Coturnix japonica: one gene and its partners. The protein of the gene in region 1 purifies or fractionates together with the protein of each later gene. This does not show direct contact. Links are inferred from orthologs where the notes say so. Each region holds a gene or a part of one and is shown in the gene's direction. Other genes may lie near its edges.

Region 1 (3,511 bases):
TCTCCTCTGGTATTGGTTTTGCTTTACTGTAAGTCTGGTACATGATCACAATGGATCTCATTTGAATTTTGAAAGGCCAGAATTTGCTCCAAAAACAAAGACAAGAAGTCAAACTTCAGGAATTAGGAAAACTGTGATTATTCCTCTTCTACTAGGGTCATTTGTGTCTGCTTTGGAATACTTTGGAAAAAAAATGACTGTCAGGATGGAGTTATTTGCTATTCTCTTGCCCTGAAGTTTATGGCTTCTCTTTTCTCAGCTGCTGACAGGCATGTGTGTGACCCGCTGTGCTCAGATGTGGGCTGCTGGGGCCCAGGGCCCTTCCACTGCTTTTCCTGCAGGTTTTTCAGTCGTCAGAAGGAGTGTGTGAAACAGTGCAACATCCTGCAAGGGTAAGGGGCATGCAGGCACACAGGGGTTTTGGTTTTAGAGTGTATGTGGCTAGCAAGTGACTAAAACATAGGGTCTTCAGATTTCACTGGTGTGGCAGAGGTGTTAGCCTGAGCACTGTACACCTCCCACCCCCTACCCCCACCCCCCCACTAAAATAAAATAAAATAAAATAAAATAAAATAAAATAAAATAAAATAAAATAAAATAAAATAAAATAAAATAAAAAAAAATAAAAATCAGGGAAACTTTCAGGCATAGGGAAAAATTCAGGCCCAACATTGCTCATACCCACTGCTCTTGAGAATCAGGCAAGCTGGGAAGCTATCACGGAGGTTAAATATTACCTTTCCTTCCAAAATGGTGTAGAGAAATTTAAAATCTCAATCTGTGCCTGTCATGTTAAGCGCATCAGGCAAGAGTCAGAATTAGTTGTCATCACCAACCACAGAGGCAGTTGTAGAAACATAGCCACCCCCGAATAGGCTTCCTTGCTGCAAAGGTTCTCATGCTCAGCATATTGGATTTGCTGAACTGCATTGTGTTTTATTAGATCAAGTAGCACAGGTTGGGAATAGACATGATTCTCACTTCAGGTATGTAGTTAACAGCAACAGCAGAGGGTACCCTGGTGTGGACAGGGAGATCCTGCTCACCAGCCAGATGAGAAACTTGCCCCTCCAATATGCAGTGTTGCAGTTAAGGGAAAAATAGGCTTCATCTGCAGAGAACTAGGTGCCGTAATTTCAGGCAAAAATATTGCTTCAGTTTTTCATGGGTCAAGGAAAGCGTACCAGTGTCTTTGTATCAAGGCTGTGGCTGTTTTTTTGTTTTTTGTTTTTTTTTTCAGGCAGTTCAGCAGGTGATACAGGCAGGGAAAGCATGGATAGCACCAAAAAATATGATGATCTTCAGTAATGTGCAATAGATTAACGCTTTGCCACCCATAAATTTGTTGGTGTAAATACTTCTGCCCTTGTTTCTTACTAAAATCTTAAGTGTTAAAAAAGAGCTTGACAGGATGTTCATGTCCATGATGATTTGTCTGTCAGCTTGCCATTCAGCAGCTGTCTTTCATAAGTGAATTCCTTCCAGCATCTTTTATGACCTGAAGGGCAGATCTGGGCATTTTTTGTGTCCTATGATGTGTAGATGTTGTTTAATTAATAACACTATTACTTGAATTAGAACAGCTTTATTGCTATTGAAACCATCTGTTCCCAACTTTCATATTTTAGTGATTCATTGAGCATGAATTTAATTATCAGAGCATTGCTCTTTAACTTTCCTAATTATTATTTAAAGCTTTAGAAACATTTGAAATTATTTTGCTGATCTATTTGTACCACTGTCATTTAAAAACCTCTGGAAACCTTTGGTAATATTCTGTGTCATTAGCTTAAAATGGAAAGTAAATTCATTTGTAGTATGTGTCCTTGAGTGCCATGTGTTCCACTGCCATCAAATTTCCTTTTCCCTTACCTCTCCACTGAGCTGAGAAAGTGCCCCTGGTGTAATGACATTAGACAAGATGGTCCCAACACCTCCCCCTGTGTCAGGACAATCATCCTAATGGGTTCAAGCTGGAAAAGCCAGGAGGTGGAAAGACAAACAAATTTTAATCCTCACTAATTATCTGGGGTTTTATTATTTCTCTTTTTTCTTTTATTCTAGGGAGCCACGTGAGTTTGAAAGAGACTCCAAATGCCTCCCCTGCCACTCGGAGTGTCTGGTGCAGAACTCCACTGCACACAACGCAACCTGCACTGGACCTGTAAGGATAGACCTAGCTTAACAAACGAGTACTTTGGGCTGTAGTTCAGTATTATGAGATGTTCTTGAATTCCGGTGTACCCTTTGCCATGGTCAGGCAGAGATGGGGGAGAGGGGGAAAAATAGAGAGCAAGATCTGTTTTGGGGGGAGAAAAAACAAGAGAGAACTTTAGGATGTGTTTTTCCACCATTACATGTGTTATCCACAGCGCCTCATAGTCACATAGGGTCTTTCTTATGTCTTGTGGGAAAAAAAAAAAAAACCAGACACACACACGCAAAAAAAAAAAAAAAAAAAAAAAAAAAACTTAAGTGAAGACATAGTAATTTGGGAATGTGTAGCTATTGAACAGCCAAGTTAGCATGAACAGATTACACTTCCTTACAGGAAAAGAGTTGTTAAAATAGTGGATAAGTACTGTAGCTTGAAAAGACCTGTTAAAATTGAGATTTTATCAATTGAGATTTTAATCAATTTAAATCTGAATTTACTGAAAAATACCCAGGATGCAGTTTTTACTTCAAGCTGTTTTTAACTAATTAGGTTAAAGTTTATAGCCAATGTCAAAGTAGTTGCAGGCATAAATTATGATAAAAGAAAAACAATCAAAACAAAATGATTGGATTTTCTTACTTTATATAGTTATATACATGTTCATACTTACACAAAATACTTTACAAAAGTCAAAACAGTGCAGTCTTGCCATTCAGTCATGAATCTTTCTCAGTGTTTTTATATCATTTTTCTTTAATTTTTAGAATACTCATATCTGTTATAAAATGTTCAGTCTAGAAACTGTGAAAAATAATTCAATTTTAGTCAGATAAAATTCATGTCTTAATAATAAATTTGTAATTCTCCTTAATCCTCCTCTGTCTCACTGAACCTTTCTCACTAACTGAAATCAAATCACCTGCTTCTTTAAAACACCTCTTGTCATCTCCTGCAGCTTCTGTATTTGACCCTTGCCCGGTAGTCTGAGGAGTGACTGCTCAGCAATGTGATCTATTTTCATCCTCCCTTCCAGTACAGACCACCATGGCCTAAGGGATGCCATTATCATTATAAACCACTTCAGGTGGTGACCACCCCTTGTTCCAGCATCTAGTCAATTATATTAGCCCTTATATGACCCAGAACAGTTTCCCCGATTTAAAATACTTACAGCCTTCCAGGTGCTGTTACAGTCTGAGTAAAAACAGTTTTGCCAAAAATGGCCAGAGGCATTGCCTTTAAACACAAATGAAATGCTATTCAAAGTTGAAAATGCACAGCATCCTTGGGTAGTTTCCACTTCCTGTACTTGTTGAAACACAGAGAAACCAGGAAAATAGTGATTTGCAGCCA
Region 2 (4,193 bases), on another chromosome or scaffold:
GCCAGCATGTGCTGACAGGGGCTGGGACTTGTGATCTCTTTAATTGCATGCACAGAGCTGCTTACGCTGCAGATTAGCAGGCACTATTTCTACCAAGGGCAGGGGCCACGTGAACTGTGACCTTCCCAGTGGTGGAGGTCTGGGTGCAGCCCCACCTGGGTGGCTACTCGTCTCAGTGTGGCTGCAGCATGGGCGATGGGACACTGGACTCTGCAGCCACCCTGTCCCTGAGTGTTGCCTTTCTCCTATTTGATGAACATCACAAAGCCTTACCTGTGGGTCCCCATGCTGCGTGCAGCTCCACTCGTGCACACAGGATGATCTGATGGGTGCAGACAGACAAACAGCAATGATATCCCAAAGCCTCTGGCAGTGCCGTGCCTTCCTGCCCTGAGCTGGATTAGGCACTGTGGTCAGCACTAATCCTGCCTGCCGCCAGACCCACAGCCACGGGAATGGTTAAGTAACAGCCTGGAGCTGCACTGGTGGGAGAGGGTCTCCAGGTGGTAGAGTCCTTGGTCACTGCTCCATGCCATGCAGCTGCCCTTGGGATGGGCTGAGGGATGGGAATTCCACTGGCCCACAGTTGCCAGCCCAAAACCAGGTGGTAGCCACTTGAGTTGGCCAGGTTCCTCCTGAGCTCCAGGAGCTCAGGGGATACCTTGGAGAGGTTATTGCAGAGGGTGGTGGGGACATCCTTGTGCCTGGTGCTGCTTGCTGCAGGGTGTGCCCACGTGCCAGTCTTGTAAACTGCCTGGAGTAAATCGTGCAAAGAGCAGGGAGGAGCCAGGCTGGCGTGGGTGGTGAAGCCCCCATTCTGTCTCTCCTGCAGCAGATGGTGGCTGCAGCTTGTCTGTAATTAACAGTGCTGTGGTGCTAATCACCCTAACACAGCCCTGTTGGCAGCTGCCCTGCACAGCTCCTGGCACGTGGGGTCTGCTTACTGCATGGCACGAGGGGCAAAACCTCAGTGTGATGGTCCCCATGCCCTTCCTGAGCCTCTCACATCCCTTTTCTCTGAAGCTGGGACACCCCCAAGCAGAGTTAATGAATGCAGCAGTGGATTCCTACATTTCTCATCCACCCAGTGCCCACATTATCACCATCTCTGCATGGCTGGAGCTCAGCCCCACATTGCAGCAGTATCCCCATCACTGCCAGCTCTGGTTCAGTGCAGTGATGCCATGCAGCTCTCCATCCCCTCTGCTGGGTACAACTGAGGGGTGGGACTCTGGGCTTGGATGGGAGCAGGGTGGTGGTGAGACCCCTGTGCTTGGGAAGCCCCCATTGTTCTCAGTGCCCTGCATGGCTGCTGGCTTCCCCCTGCGAGCAGGGCTAGAGTGGGAGGAGGAGCAAGGAGGCTGTCCCAGATGTGGAGTGTGCAGAGCATAAAGGAGGAAGAGTGTGGGCAAGCACAGCAGTGCAGAGCGGGGACGGCGAGCAGTGGGCCTGGCTGCAGGGGACGGGCAGTGGGGGCACAGGGTGTGCAGTGTCATGTCTGCGAGGGACGGTGAGTACCTCTGGTGACATACGGGGTTCCATATGCCACTGGGATGCCTGTGTGGCCTCATGTTCCTGGTGCAGCAGGGCAGGATGCTGGTGGGGTGATGCTGCCGTGGGTCCCTGATCTGCCTCTCTCTGCCCCCCTGCACACTGCAGACTGCAGCCACCCATGATGCGGAGCACCCAGACCCCCAGCTTCACCCCACGGCCCTCCCAGATCCACTCCTGCTGCACTGCCCAGCTGGGGGGATCAGTGTGGGGCACCCTTTGAGCAGGAGCTGCACATCACCCGTCGGGACCCCCAGCCTCTGGGCCCCCACCTTCACCTTCCTTGGCAATCAGCCCATGTGGAGTGGGGGACACAACGCAGTGCAGCTGACATTGTGCCACCCATAAGAATGGCAGCAGCAAGCTGGTACCACCAGGACATCAGCAGGGTGGTGGCTGAAGATCTGCTGGCCAAGGCTGGGCGGGATGGCTGCTTCCTGGTGCGGGACAGTGAGTCCATTGCAGGGGCGTACGCCCTGTGCCTCCTGTGAGTTCTACCTTATTTCTGCTCTTTGCTTCTTTCTTGTCCCCAGTCCGTGCAGCAGGGTGGGGGGATGGTGCAGCATGACAGCAAGGCAAGGTTGGGGCTGCAAATCATTCAACAGCAAAAAGGATGTGTGCAGGGTGCAGCAACCACTTCTGCTTTGCACAGCTGTCTGTGATGGTGCTTTTTTGATGATGCCCAGCTCAGTCTGGGGCGGGGGGGCCTGTGTAGCTCCCACCCCACATCCATGGAGCATCATTCTGTGCCCTGTGGGGCTGCCCACATTCAGGTGCATCTGGGTGCCTGGCTGGCCCCTGCGTGGGGTGAAGGAAGCAGCCAGCACAGCCCTCTCTGTGTGAATACAAACATCACCTCTGTGTTCAACCTCTGTCGCGCCAGCATCCGGACCACAGGTCCTGCTGTTAACTTCTCAGCTGCCAGTTTGAGCAGCCCCAGCACCTTCAGGTGCTGCTGGTGGAGGCGTGGGGTTCGGGCTGGGGTGGATCACCCCTACAACTGAGGGACATACTGCTCAGATGCGCTGGAAATGTATGGGCAGTGCTTCTGTGGGTTTGGATGGATGCCCCCTGGTTCCCTGTGGCTTTCCTGGCCAGGTGCATGGTACAAAAGGGAAACACATGATGCTGGGGAGCATGGGGCATGGGGCACCCTGGGACAGGCACAAGGCAACAGCTTCATTACCCAAAGCAGGAGCTCAGTTCCTCTGCCTGCAGAGTGCACATGGTGCAGATGCTCTGCTCTCCCGTAGGTTCCAGCGGCACGTCCACACCTACCGCATCCTGCCCAACAGTGAAGGGCTGCTCTCTGTCCAGGTGGGTGCGGGAAGCAGTGCTCAGGGAAGGGGGCATTCACCCCCACCTCCAACTTCTGCACAGCACACAGCGAGGTGCAGCCTGCAGCTTCTTGCATGTAGCGGGCGGTGCGGTTTGCTTTTTGCATAAGTGCAGCAGCACAGGATGTGTGAGCTTTGCACAGACCCTTTCTGCAGCGCAGCCGCCTGGGAACGATGCCACACGGGTATCCCCACGGCCACCCACTGCTGCTGCATCTGGGGGAGGCTTAGTGAAAATGTTGTCCCCTCTCTGTCACTATCCCTGCTGTGAGACTGTGCAGAGCATCCCCCGTCGCCCACCCTAGCTATGAACCTGGCTGGAGGTGTTTGGCTTGTGGATGGGGGGATACGGTGGCCACCATCTTCTCTGCCCCCCAGAGCATCCAGGGCATTCAGGCCAAGTGCTTCCGGAGCCTCCCTGAGCTGATCAGTGCCTACCAGCAGCCCAACAATGGGCTGGTGACACCTCTGCTCTACCCTGTGCACCGGCTCCGGGAAGCAGCCAATGAAGACTCTGGTGAGAGCATGGGGGCAAAGGGTTGGGGCTGCCGGCAGAGAGGTGATGGCGCTGAGCTGGGATCTGTGCCCGCAGATGGGGAGGATGGAAGAGGTGGCCATGTGGGCAGCGTGGTGCCCACCAGGGTTAATGGGGGGAGCACAGGGCCTGGTGCTCCCCCCACCCATCCCCACATCTCACAGCAGCTGCAGCTGAGGCTTCAGGAGCAGGTTCATAGCAGGTAACGTGCTCCTCAGGGGCAATGGGGTGGGCACAGCATAGCAGGGTGGAGGTGGCACATCCCAAGAACACAAGACCAAGGGTATGTTCTAATGGGTGGCTGCCCACACCCAGCCCTGCTCATGCTGGAGCTGGAGCAGGGCACAAAATGCCTTTCCCTGTGGTTTCCAAATCCTGAGTGCCGTGCCCAGGGCTGGCACCTCTCTGAGCCCGGGCACCTCCGCTCCCATCCACTGCCCCTCCTTGCAGTCCATCCAGTGACTTCATGGGCTTCATGGCTGACTACCTGGCACAGCACCTGCCACTGGACCTGGCTACACTGTGCAGTGGGCACCCGCAGCTGTGCCATCTCAGTGCTGCTCTCGTCACTGCCTGCCAGGCACTGCACAGGTGAGTGGCACATGGGGATGGCAGGAGGAGGGCAGGGCTGAGGGGCCATCTGCTTGTCCCTGTCCCTGTGCATCTCCAGCCTTTGTGTTCCTTTGTCTCTCTGCAGTGAGATCGACTTCACGCTGGCGGGGCTGGAGACCCTGGCCAGAGTGTTTGAACCCCCCGTGTCCCCACGCAGT
Region 3 (4,040 bases), on another chromosome or scaffold:
TGGTTTGCAGTTTTATGGGCTCACTAAAATCCAAACAGCCCTATAAAATAGATGGGAATCATTCATTTCCAGTCAGCAGTTTCTGGGTTTGATGTGATTTAAGCCCATGTAAATAACTCTCCCATTCAGGTGGGGACTTTTGCCTCTGGGGGAATTCAGTGTCCTCAGGGATGACAGAAACACACAGAATCACAGAATGGGTTGTAAAGGCCCATAATGTCCATCCAGCTCCAACCCTGCTGTGTGCAGGTACCAACCAGCAGCCCAGGCTGCCCAGAGCCACATCCCCCACTTGGTTTTATGCACTTCTTCATCTTCAACGACCTCTTTGCCCTCTCCTCCCTTTCCCAACCTGAGCTGTGCAGCCCATTGACCCAGCTGGCAGCCGCACAGCAAACATCGCTACGAGGCAATCACGCCAAATCCCCTCAATAAACGGAGTTTAACAGGCTGAAGCTCCGTGGATGATTGCAGGGCAGCCTATCAAGGGCCGTTCCTAGAGGGAAATGCGGAGTGCTGGGCGCTGCTTTAAGGTGCGGCGGTGCCGGGATGTCCTGGGAAAGCAGCGCCGGGGGCGGGGGGAGCACACAGGGCTCAGCTGCACTGCTCAGCTCTGGTTTGATTCGGGATTGATCAAAGGATGCGATGGGAGAAACCCGGGGGGGTTGGGAGCAAACTGTGCCCTCACGGTCCGACCCATCAGCCCCGCAGCTCCGTCCTGTGCCCATTCAGGTGAACGAAGGAACGGAGCCACGCTCAGATTCCGTTTCCTGTTTTCAGTTCTGATTTCGTAACACCGTGGCCGTTGTGTAACTGCAGCAGGAGGAGAAAAACAGGAGAACCTCTCGGAAAAGAGCCCCATCCTGGGCTGTGCACCATCAGCCTGCACTGCACAGCACAGCACAGCACTGCATTGCATTGCACAGCACTGCATAGCACTGCACAGCTGCCATGGCTCCATCTGATCAATCACGAGTGAATCCAACCCGCTGTGCTGGTCTCCTGCCCTGGGCCATCGGCTGCCGCTCGTTCTCCGAGTTCTTTCCCAGCCTTGTTGGTTTTATGGCTCTATGATCCCATGACTCACGCCGGGCGCTGTCGGGGTGGGTGATGACCCGCAATGAGCCGGAACCATCGATGCGTCCAAGCCCTCGGTGCTCGATGTGGTGACGTTTCAGACCGCTGGGAGGGGACGCCGCGGGTGTCGTGGTGCTGCGCTGCCCGTGGGGCTGGGCTCTGCTCAATGCTCCGTGCTCTGTGCTCCGCCCCGGGGCCGGGCAGCTCCGGGTGGGGATATTGCCCGGCCCCAACATAGAGCCCGACACCCCGCCTTGGTGCGCGGCCCGACAGCTGCAGGTAGGGGAGTAGGGGAGCTCTGGGACTGCGGGTACCGGGTTGGACGGAGCTGCCACCCCTGGGCAGTTGGGTTGTACGGCTTTGCCCACCATCCTGCACGTTGCTTTGCTTCTGAACCCAAATGGTTTCCCAATGAAGGGTTCTCCCAAAGGCTGAGCCGGGTGTCGACACGGTTTGGACTCGATGATCTTAGATGTCTTTTCCAGCCTTAACCGCTCTATGAATTATAAAGTGGGACTTTCAGGACTCGGGGGGTTCGTTGGCACCTGCCTGGCCGAGCTGGGACAGCCCAACTTGGAGAGGCCCGACCTGCACCATGGGAAGCAGAGGGGTGGGAAAAGCAGAGGGCAAAATCCTGCACGGCAAAGTGGGGGCAGCTGAAAGTCATCGCTGCCAGTTGGTGCCCGAAGGGCTGCTTGAAAGTCACTGCTTCAAGTCACTGCTTGAAGTCCCTGCTTGGAAGTCCCTGCTTGGAAGTCACGCAGGCTCTGCATTGCATTTTGCTGGAGGAAGAGTTTGGTGCTGGGGAAACTCAGCTTGATTTCCGTATTGCTGTAGCAGCCCGGCTGGGTTTACTCAGCCCTTGGTGTTACTCAGCCCTTGGTGTTGCTCAGTGTTGCTTTAGAAGAGAACTTTGCCACTTTCCATTCGGAATTTTCCTTTTTCCCTCCCATTTTTGCCTCTCCCCGTTTATTTCCCCCCCTTCTCTCTTTGCTCATGAATGCACTCTTTGATAGCAGCAATTCAGCCTCAGGCCGCAGCGTTTCTGCACGGCGCAGCTTCGCCTTTTGGGGTGGCTGTAAATCCCATTGCAGCCCACGTGTCCCCATAGGGATGGCACAGGGGGGTCCCCCTATAGGACCCTCCTCTCCCATCCCATCCCAGCTGCAGGCCGGGCTCTTTGGATTTGGAACCATGAGGCACCTCTGGGCCTGGTTATGGTGTAGATGGTGAATCACCACCAGCCGTGTAAGCTGGGAGGGCAATAAAACGACTTCCCATCCTTTGTCTTTTTTGTTATAGGACAATGTCGGACGGTTTCTCTGTGAGTATCGGCTCCTTCCAACACACAGGGCTCTGTGGGGGCACTGCATGGAGGTGGGGACCTGCAGTGGGGAAATCATCACTGCGGGTGTTTGGGAAGTTGGGGATGTGGCACTGAGGGCTGATGCTGATTGTGAAGGTCTTTTCCAACCGTAATGATTTTGTGATTCTATGATTCCACGTTGCTGCCAATCCGTGTAACACCAATCAAGGTGCATTCAAGGACTTTGGGGCTCTCAGCACCAGCACGTGGTGTTGTGCAGGCCATGCAGGCCATGTGCTGGCAGCCCCACTGGATTCTGCTTCTCTTCCCCCTCCTCCTCTCCCCTCCATCCCCAGCTCTCCGATGCTCTGCCTGCTCACAACCCTGGTGCCCCCCCACCCCAGGGCTGGAACCAGCCCCCGGGACCTGGGGCCTTTCCACCGTACCCTGGGTACCCAGGTGCTGGATACCCTGGAGCACCAGGACCGTACCCGGGGGCACCGGGACCACATCATGGACCTCCAGGACATCATGGACCACCAGGACCACATCATGGACCACCAGGACCATACCCTGGAGGACCAGCAGGACCATACTCTGGAACTCCATCCGCTCCACTGGTAACAGCTCTGTCCTATTTCAAGGGTTTCTGGTTCAGCAGTTCCTCATTGAGCTGGGCTGTGGGAGGGACCTGGAGCTGAATGTCCTCAGCAGGTTGCACGAGCAGTCAGTCACATTGCTGTCACATTGCTGTCACGCCAACACCCAGCCCTTGTCTGACAGTCAGTCCTGTGCTGCTCGTTAACCTGCTGTTGTGCTCACACCACATCCCTGTCCTCTGCAGAAAGTCCCCTACGATCTGCCCCTGCCATCAGGCCTGGTGCCTCGGCTGCTCATAACCATCACCGGGACCATCAACCCAAATCCCAACAGGTACAGACGGGCTGCAGCAGTGTTTAGGGGCAGAGTTCGCTTTCTGAATGACATCCAGCTTCTCTGAAATCAAACGTGACACAAAAGAGTCTCTTAAATCCTCCAGCACTGCTCTGTCGTTACCTGAAAAAGCAGCTCTTTGATTGTTGCCTTGGCAGGTTCTCGCTGGATTTCAAGAGGGGCCAAGACATTGCCTTCCACTTCAACCCCCGTTTCAACGAAGACCACAAAAGGGTCATTGTCTGTAACTCAATGATCAACAACAACTGGGGGAAGGAGGAGAGAACAGCTCCTAGGTTCCCATTTGAACCTGGGTCCCCCTTCAAGGTAACAATAAAAGAAGGAAAGAAAAGCTGTTCTTCCCATTTCTCATTGCATTCTTTGTGCTGTCACCATGGGGCAGGTTGCTGTCAGGCTCCTGCAGTGCAGCAAAGGTGACCGGTGCTCCTTGGTTCCATTCTGGCTCACTTGATGTTTCTATTCCAGCTCCAGGTGCTCTGTGAGGGGGATCACTTCAAGGTGGCAGCCAACGATGCTCATCTGCTGCAGTTCAACTTCCGTGAGAAGAGGCTGAACGAGGTGACCAAGCTCTGCATCGCTGGGGACATCACCCTCACCAGCGTCCTGACCTCCATGATTTAATCACTGAGCTGTGCCTTTAACACAAGCCCAGCACTCCTCAGAGAGCTGTGACAGCAGCGCCTTCCTGGGTGATTACTTTGAA
Region 4 (3,958 bases), on another chromosome or scaffold:
GTCTGCGGGATCCCTGAGGTGACAGTAGATGAGCTGAAGAAGTTCAGTAAGTAGTGGGCAGCATTAAGCTGCGCTCATGGATGCTGCTCATCCTCTGCACGCATCCTGCCCTGTGTCCTGCATCCACCCCATGCTGATGTCCTTTGTGGAGCTCTTCTCACAGAGCCCCTGTGTGTTCCTTGCTGCAGTCACCTTCGAGGACTTTGAAAGCTCCCGTGTCCTTCAGTTCTGGGATGCCCTCAAGAACTTCACCAGCGGTGAGTGACCGCTGTCCTGCTCTGCACCCACTGGGCCAGGCCTTCAGGGTCACTTCTCCTGCTGGGAGTGTCCCTTGGCTTTCCCAGGCCCTGAAGGTGACCCCAGCTCTGTTCCCTGTCCTTTCCCAGAGGATCTCAGCCGCTTCCTCAAGTTTGTCACCGGCCGCAGCCGCCTCCCGGTTCAGCTCACCATCTACCCGGACCGTTCCCTGTGAGTCTGCCTGTCCTGCAGGCTGTGGTCCTGCCATGCAGACCCCTGACCCATCTCTCCTTTCTCCCAAGCCCTGAGCGGTTGGACATGATGCCCGAGGCCTCCACGTGCTCCTGCACCATGTACTTGCCCAAATACTCCACGTGAGTGCCTGGGGATGAGGACGCTCAGCCTCCCCACCGTGGGGGGCAGTGGGAGGGAGGTCAGTGATAGACCCCGGCCTAACCCAGTGTCTCACCCCCAGGGTCAAGATGTGCGAGGAGCTGCTGCGCTTCGCCGTGTATAACTGCATGTCCATCGACACCGACAAGGACAACTGGGACTAGTGGCAATAAAAGAACTGTTTGCTCACAGCTGTGTCCGTGGTGTGGGGAGCGCTGTGTGGGGTCTCTGCGCTGTCCTTTCCCCGGCCATGGTTGTATCCCCATCCTTATCCTCTTGTCCCCGTGATTCTGTGGGTTCAGTGTTTCCCTCCCATCTCTGTACAACCTCGTTGTTGTTTCCTGCTGCCTGGCTAGAGATACCCGTCCCCCTACAGCCGACTCCCCGCATTGCATCCTGCAGCCCCCACGGTGCAGTTCCACCCCAGCCCACACGGTGGCGCTGTGTCTCCCCGCAGCGATCCCCGACTCGTCCATCTCTCTGTGCTCATCTCGCTGCCCTGGCTGCCAGGCTCGGATGGGATCGGTGCGATCGGCGCTCTCTCGCCGCTCTCCGCCATCGATGCGTTCTGCGCTCCACGCGCATGCGCACCGCGCGCCGGCGCCGCCATAGTGGTTCTGTCAGAGAGGTGCTGGGCGCCGGCGGAGCGGAGGTAACGGCGGGGACGGGCCGGAGCGGGGCGGCCATGGGACAGAACGGGGGGACGGGCGTGATTCCGAGCAGCCACCAGGGGCACGGGTCGGGCTGGGCCGAAGCCAACCGGTGTTACCTCGGCTGGGCCCGGTGCTGCCGTGTGTGAGCGGTGCCGTTGCTGTGTTGCAGATGGAGTTCCAGGCCGTGCTGATGGCGGCGGGGGGCGGCTCTCGCATGACGGACCTGACGTCCAGCATCCCGAAGCCGCTGCTCCCGGTGGGAAACCGGCCCCTGCTCTGGTACCCGCTGAACCTGCTGGAGCGAGCCGGGTTCGAAGGTGAGCGCTGCCCGGGCTGTGCCAGCTGGGCTGCATTAAAGGCCGCTTAATGTACTAGAGCCGCTGTTGTCAGTGCCGCACCTGTGCCCCCACAGCCCCCATCAAGGCTTGAATCATAGAATCACCAAGGTTGGAAAAGACCTAAAAGATCATCCAGTCCAACCGTTCACCTGTTACCAACAGCTCCCACTAAACCGTGTCCCTCAACAAAATGGTCTCTGTTATTATATGTTTTATATACTGTCCAGGATAATTCCTCTTCACACAGTGCAGCCCAAGCGTGTCAGGAAGATGGACACCCATGTTCCAGACTGAGCATTTACTTCAGTTACAAAGATTGTTACAGCTGCAGACTTTAAGCTCAGGCTCTGGTTTCTGTCATTGTTTTATGCTGGTGCTGACCTTCATTGACTCTCAGTGTTATTCTTTCCATGAGGATGCACAGGATCTGTCCTTTAACTCATTCCTGTTTAATACATGGATACACTGAAAACAACATTTTCTCTTTTACCTGTGTTATTTACTGAAATATTTTGCTTTCCACACGCTCCTTTTGTAAGGGCAGCTGGGGGAACCTCTTCAGAGGAACCTGATTCCTATTTAGGGATTAGGGTTTAAAAATACAATAACTGATAGTCTTCCTCCTTTCACTCCTTCTTCCTCAGTTTTCTAAAGACCCCACGTCCGTGTGCTTTTCATAACTTTGGCGTCTTCTCCACGTTTATTTCTGTGAGTCATTAATAACGATGCTGTGAGGTGCACGCCAGCTCTCTCAGATAGCTCTCGGTTTGTTGTTCCAGTTTGGCCTGAAGTTCAGGGTTACCTGCCCTGTGTGAGGTGTTTAGTCATTGCTGCACTGAGCAGCTCAGTGCTGGGCTTTGGGCAGAACAGCACAGGGGGAGCTGGTGGCCTTGGGATTTTGCTTTTGTACTTGGCTTTTTTGCTGCTTCTTTTGTTTCTCTTCAGTGACTGCATCATAGAGCATCTCTTCGGTGTTCTGTGTTGAGAATGTGACCTTTTCCAAACTCTTGTTCTTTCTGGTGATGTACCAATTAGCAGTGTATCGTATTAGCATAGTATATTAGCATATACCCAATAGATGTATTCAGGTTGGCTTATTACTGTTTTGGTGCCCAGCAACAAAGGGAAAAATCAATATAGTCCTTTGCCTTTATTTTGTTTTCTTAAGAAATCCTTGAGAGGCTTTCTATCACAGAATCACAGAATGACCCGGGTTGGAAGGGACCTCAAGGATCATGTAGTTCCAACCCCCTGCCTGGCAGGGCCACCAAACATACACCTTTACTAGATCAGGTTGCCCAGGGCCCCGTCCAACCTGGTCTTGAACACCTCCAAGGACGGGGCATCCACAACCTCCCTGGGCAGCCTGTTCCAGGGCCTCACCACTCTCCTAGTGAAGAATGTTCTTGAAAACCTGGATATGCAAGTTTTATGTACGCAGCTTCCATAAGCAACCAACCACCTCCTTGCTTTTCTTGCTTCTGCTCCCTGGCCAAGCAGCACGTTCTTGTGTAAATTCTGCAGTAGTATGAATCCCCTCCCTGGATCATAACTTTAGTTATTTGTTAGGTGACAATTTGGTTCTTTTTAACTGTGTTAACAAGTAGTTGTTCCCCAGTCTGATTCACCGCTTCCCTTTTGTCCCAGCTGCAAGCACGTCATCCTTCCTAATATTTAGGCCTTTGTCCTTCTCAATGAATTCATGCTAAAGTCTGGGCTTATGGCCTCTACCTGACACCAGTTCTTCCAGTTCACAAACTACTCCATTTCTTTGCCAGGCTGGTGTTGGCAATAGTTTAACCAATACCTTGTGATGCTGTGCTTTGTGGTGGTATCCAGTGAGCTGTGCAGGATTGGGCAGGGTGAAAGGCAAAGCTCCAGAGTGCTGCTGTTGTTTGATCTTACCCCACTTTCCTCTCCTAGAGGTCATCGTAATTACAAGGAAGGAAATCCAAAAAATGCTAAACTTGGACACGAAAATGAAGCTGGATTTTGTGTACATCAGTGACAACGTGGACATGGGCACAGCGGATTCGCTGAGGCATATTCACCAGAAAATAAAGGTATTTTTGTACTTGATTGAACTTGACTAGAAGACATTTGTTGAAACTCATCTTCTTTTTTCTTTTTCCCCATTACACTTTGATACCCTGAGAGCTGATCTTGTAATGCTATTTCCCAATCTGCAGAAGGTCTGTCTGTTGTGTAGGTCACCTCACAGGGGAACCCATATGAGGACTCAAATAGAAATAATAGCTAGGAAGGCCAGAGCAAATCCAGGCTGGGCACCAGCTGCCTTGTAGTCCTTGTGGGCTTTCTGGTGGGTTAATGAAGAGG

The links.
Region 2: the proteins of EGFR (region 1) and phosphatidylinositol 3,4,5-trisphosphate 5-phosphatase 2-like purify together in Homo sapiens (affinity purification with western blotting; 3 studies listed by BioGRID and IntAct, with this or other methods). This does not show direct contact. The link is inferred for Coturnix japonica from reciprocal best matches to the Homo sapiens genes EGFR and INPPL1.
Region 3: the proteins of EGFR (region 1) and LGALS3 purify together in Homo sapiens (affinity purification with western blotting; 3 studies listed by BioGRID and IntAct, with this or other methods). This does not show direct contact. The link is inferred for Coturnix japonica from reciprocal best matches to the Homo sapiens genes EGFR and LGALS3.
Region 4: the proteins of EGFR (region 1) and EIF2B3 purify together in Homo sapiens (affinity purification with mass spectrometry; 4 studies listed by BioGRID and IntAct, with this or other methods). This does not show direct contact. The link is inferred for Coturnix japonica from reciprocal best matches to the Homo sapiens genes EGFR and EIF2B3.

The regions. Positions count from the first base shown.
Region 1 is NC_029517.1:73,942,656-73,946,166, forward strand, and holds part of EGFR (epidermal growth factor receptor), read left to right. Parts: intron 1-259; coding exon 260-392; intron 393-2,064; coding exon 2,065-2,164; intron 2,165-3,511. UniProt on the Homo sapiens protein: Receptor tyrosine kinase binding ligands of the EGF family and activating several signaling cascades to convert extracellular cues into appropriate cellular responses.
Region 2 is NC_029519.1:1,200,259-1,204,451, reverse strand, and holds the start of phosphatidylinositol 3,4,5-trisphosphate 5-phosphatase 2-like, read left to right. Parts: upstream 1-1,387; 5' UTR 1,388-1,510; intron 1,511-1,659; 5' UTR 1,660-1,901; coding exon 1,902-2,038; intron 2,039-2,804; coding exon 2,805-2,868; intron 2,869-3,266; coding exon 3,267-3,405; intron 3,406-3,480; coding exon 3,481-3,625; intron 3,626-3,873; coding exon 3,874-4,014; intron 4,015-4,120; coding exon 4,121-4,193. UniProt on the Homo sapiens protein: Phosphatidylinositol (PtdIns) phosphatase that specifically hydrolyzes the 5-phosphate of phosphatidylinositol-3,4,5-trisphosphate (PtdIns(3,4,5)P3) to produce PtdIns(3,4)P2, thereby negatively regulating the PI3K (phosphoinositide 3-kinase) pathways.
Region 3 is NC_029520.1:51,128,933-51,132,972, reverse strand, and holds the start of LGALS3 (galectin-3), read left to right. Parts: upstream 1-1,234; 5' UTR 1,235-1,356; intron 1,357-2,379; 5' UTR 2,380-2,383; coding exon 2,384-2,401; intron 2,402-2,739; coding exon 2,740-3,003; intron 3,004-3,227; coding exon 3,228-3,316; intron 3,317-3,474; coding exon 3,475-3,643; intron 3,644-3,802; coding exon 3,803-3,958; 3' UTR 3,959-4,040. UniProt on the Homo sapiens protein: Galactose-specific lectin which binds IgE. May mediate with the alpha-3, beta-1 integrin the stimulation by CSPG4 of endothelial cells migration.
Region 4 is NC_029523.1:18,532,016-18,535,973, reverse strand, and holds the start of EIF2B3 (translation initiation factor eIF-2B subunit gamma), read left to right. Parts: upstream 1-1,152; 5' UTR 1,153-1,213; coding exon 1,214-1,282; intron 1,283-1,452; coding exon 1,453-1,600; intron 1,601-3,544; coding exon 3,545-3,684; intron 3,685-3,958. Other genes in the region: E3 ubiquitin-protein ligase HECTD3-like, read left to right, coding at 1-46, 189-257, 387-468, 540-611, 713-794. UniProt on the Homo sapiens protein: Acts as a component of the translation initiation factor 2B (eIF2B) complex, which catalyzes the exchange of GDP for GTP on the eukaryotic initiation factor 2 (eIF2) complex gamma subunit.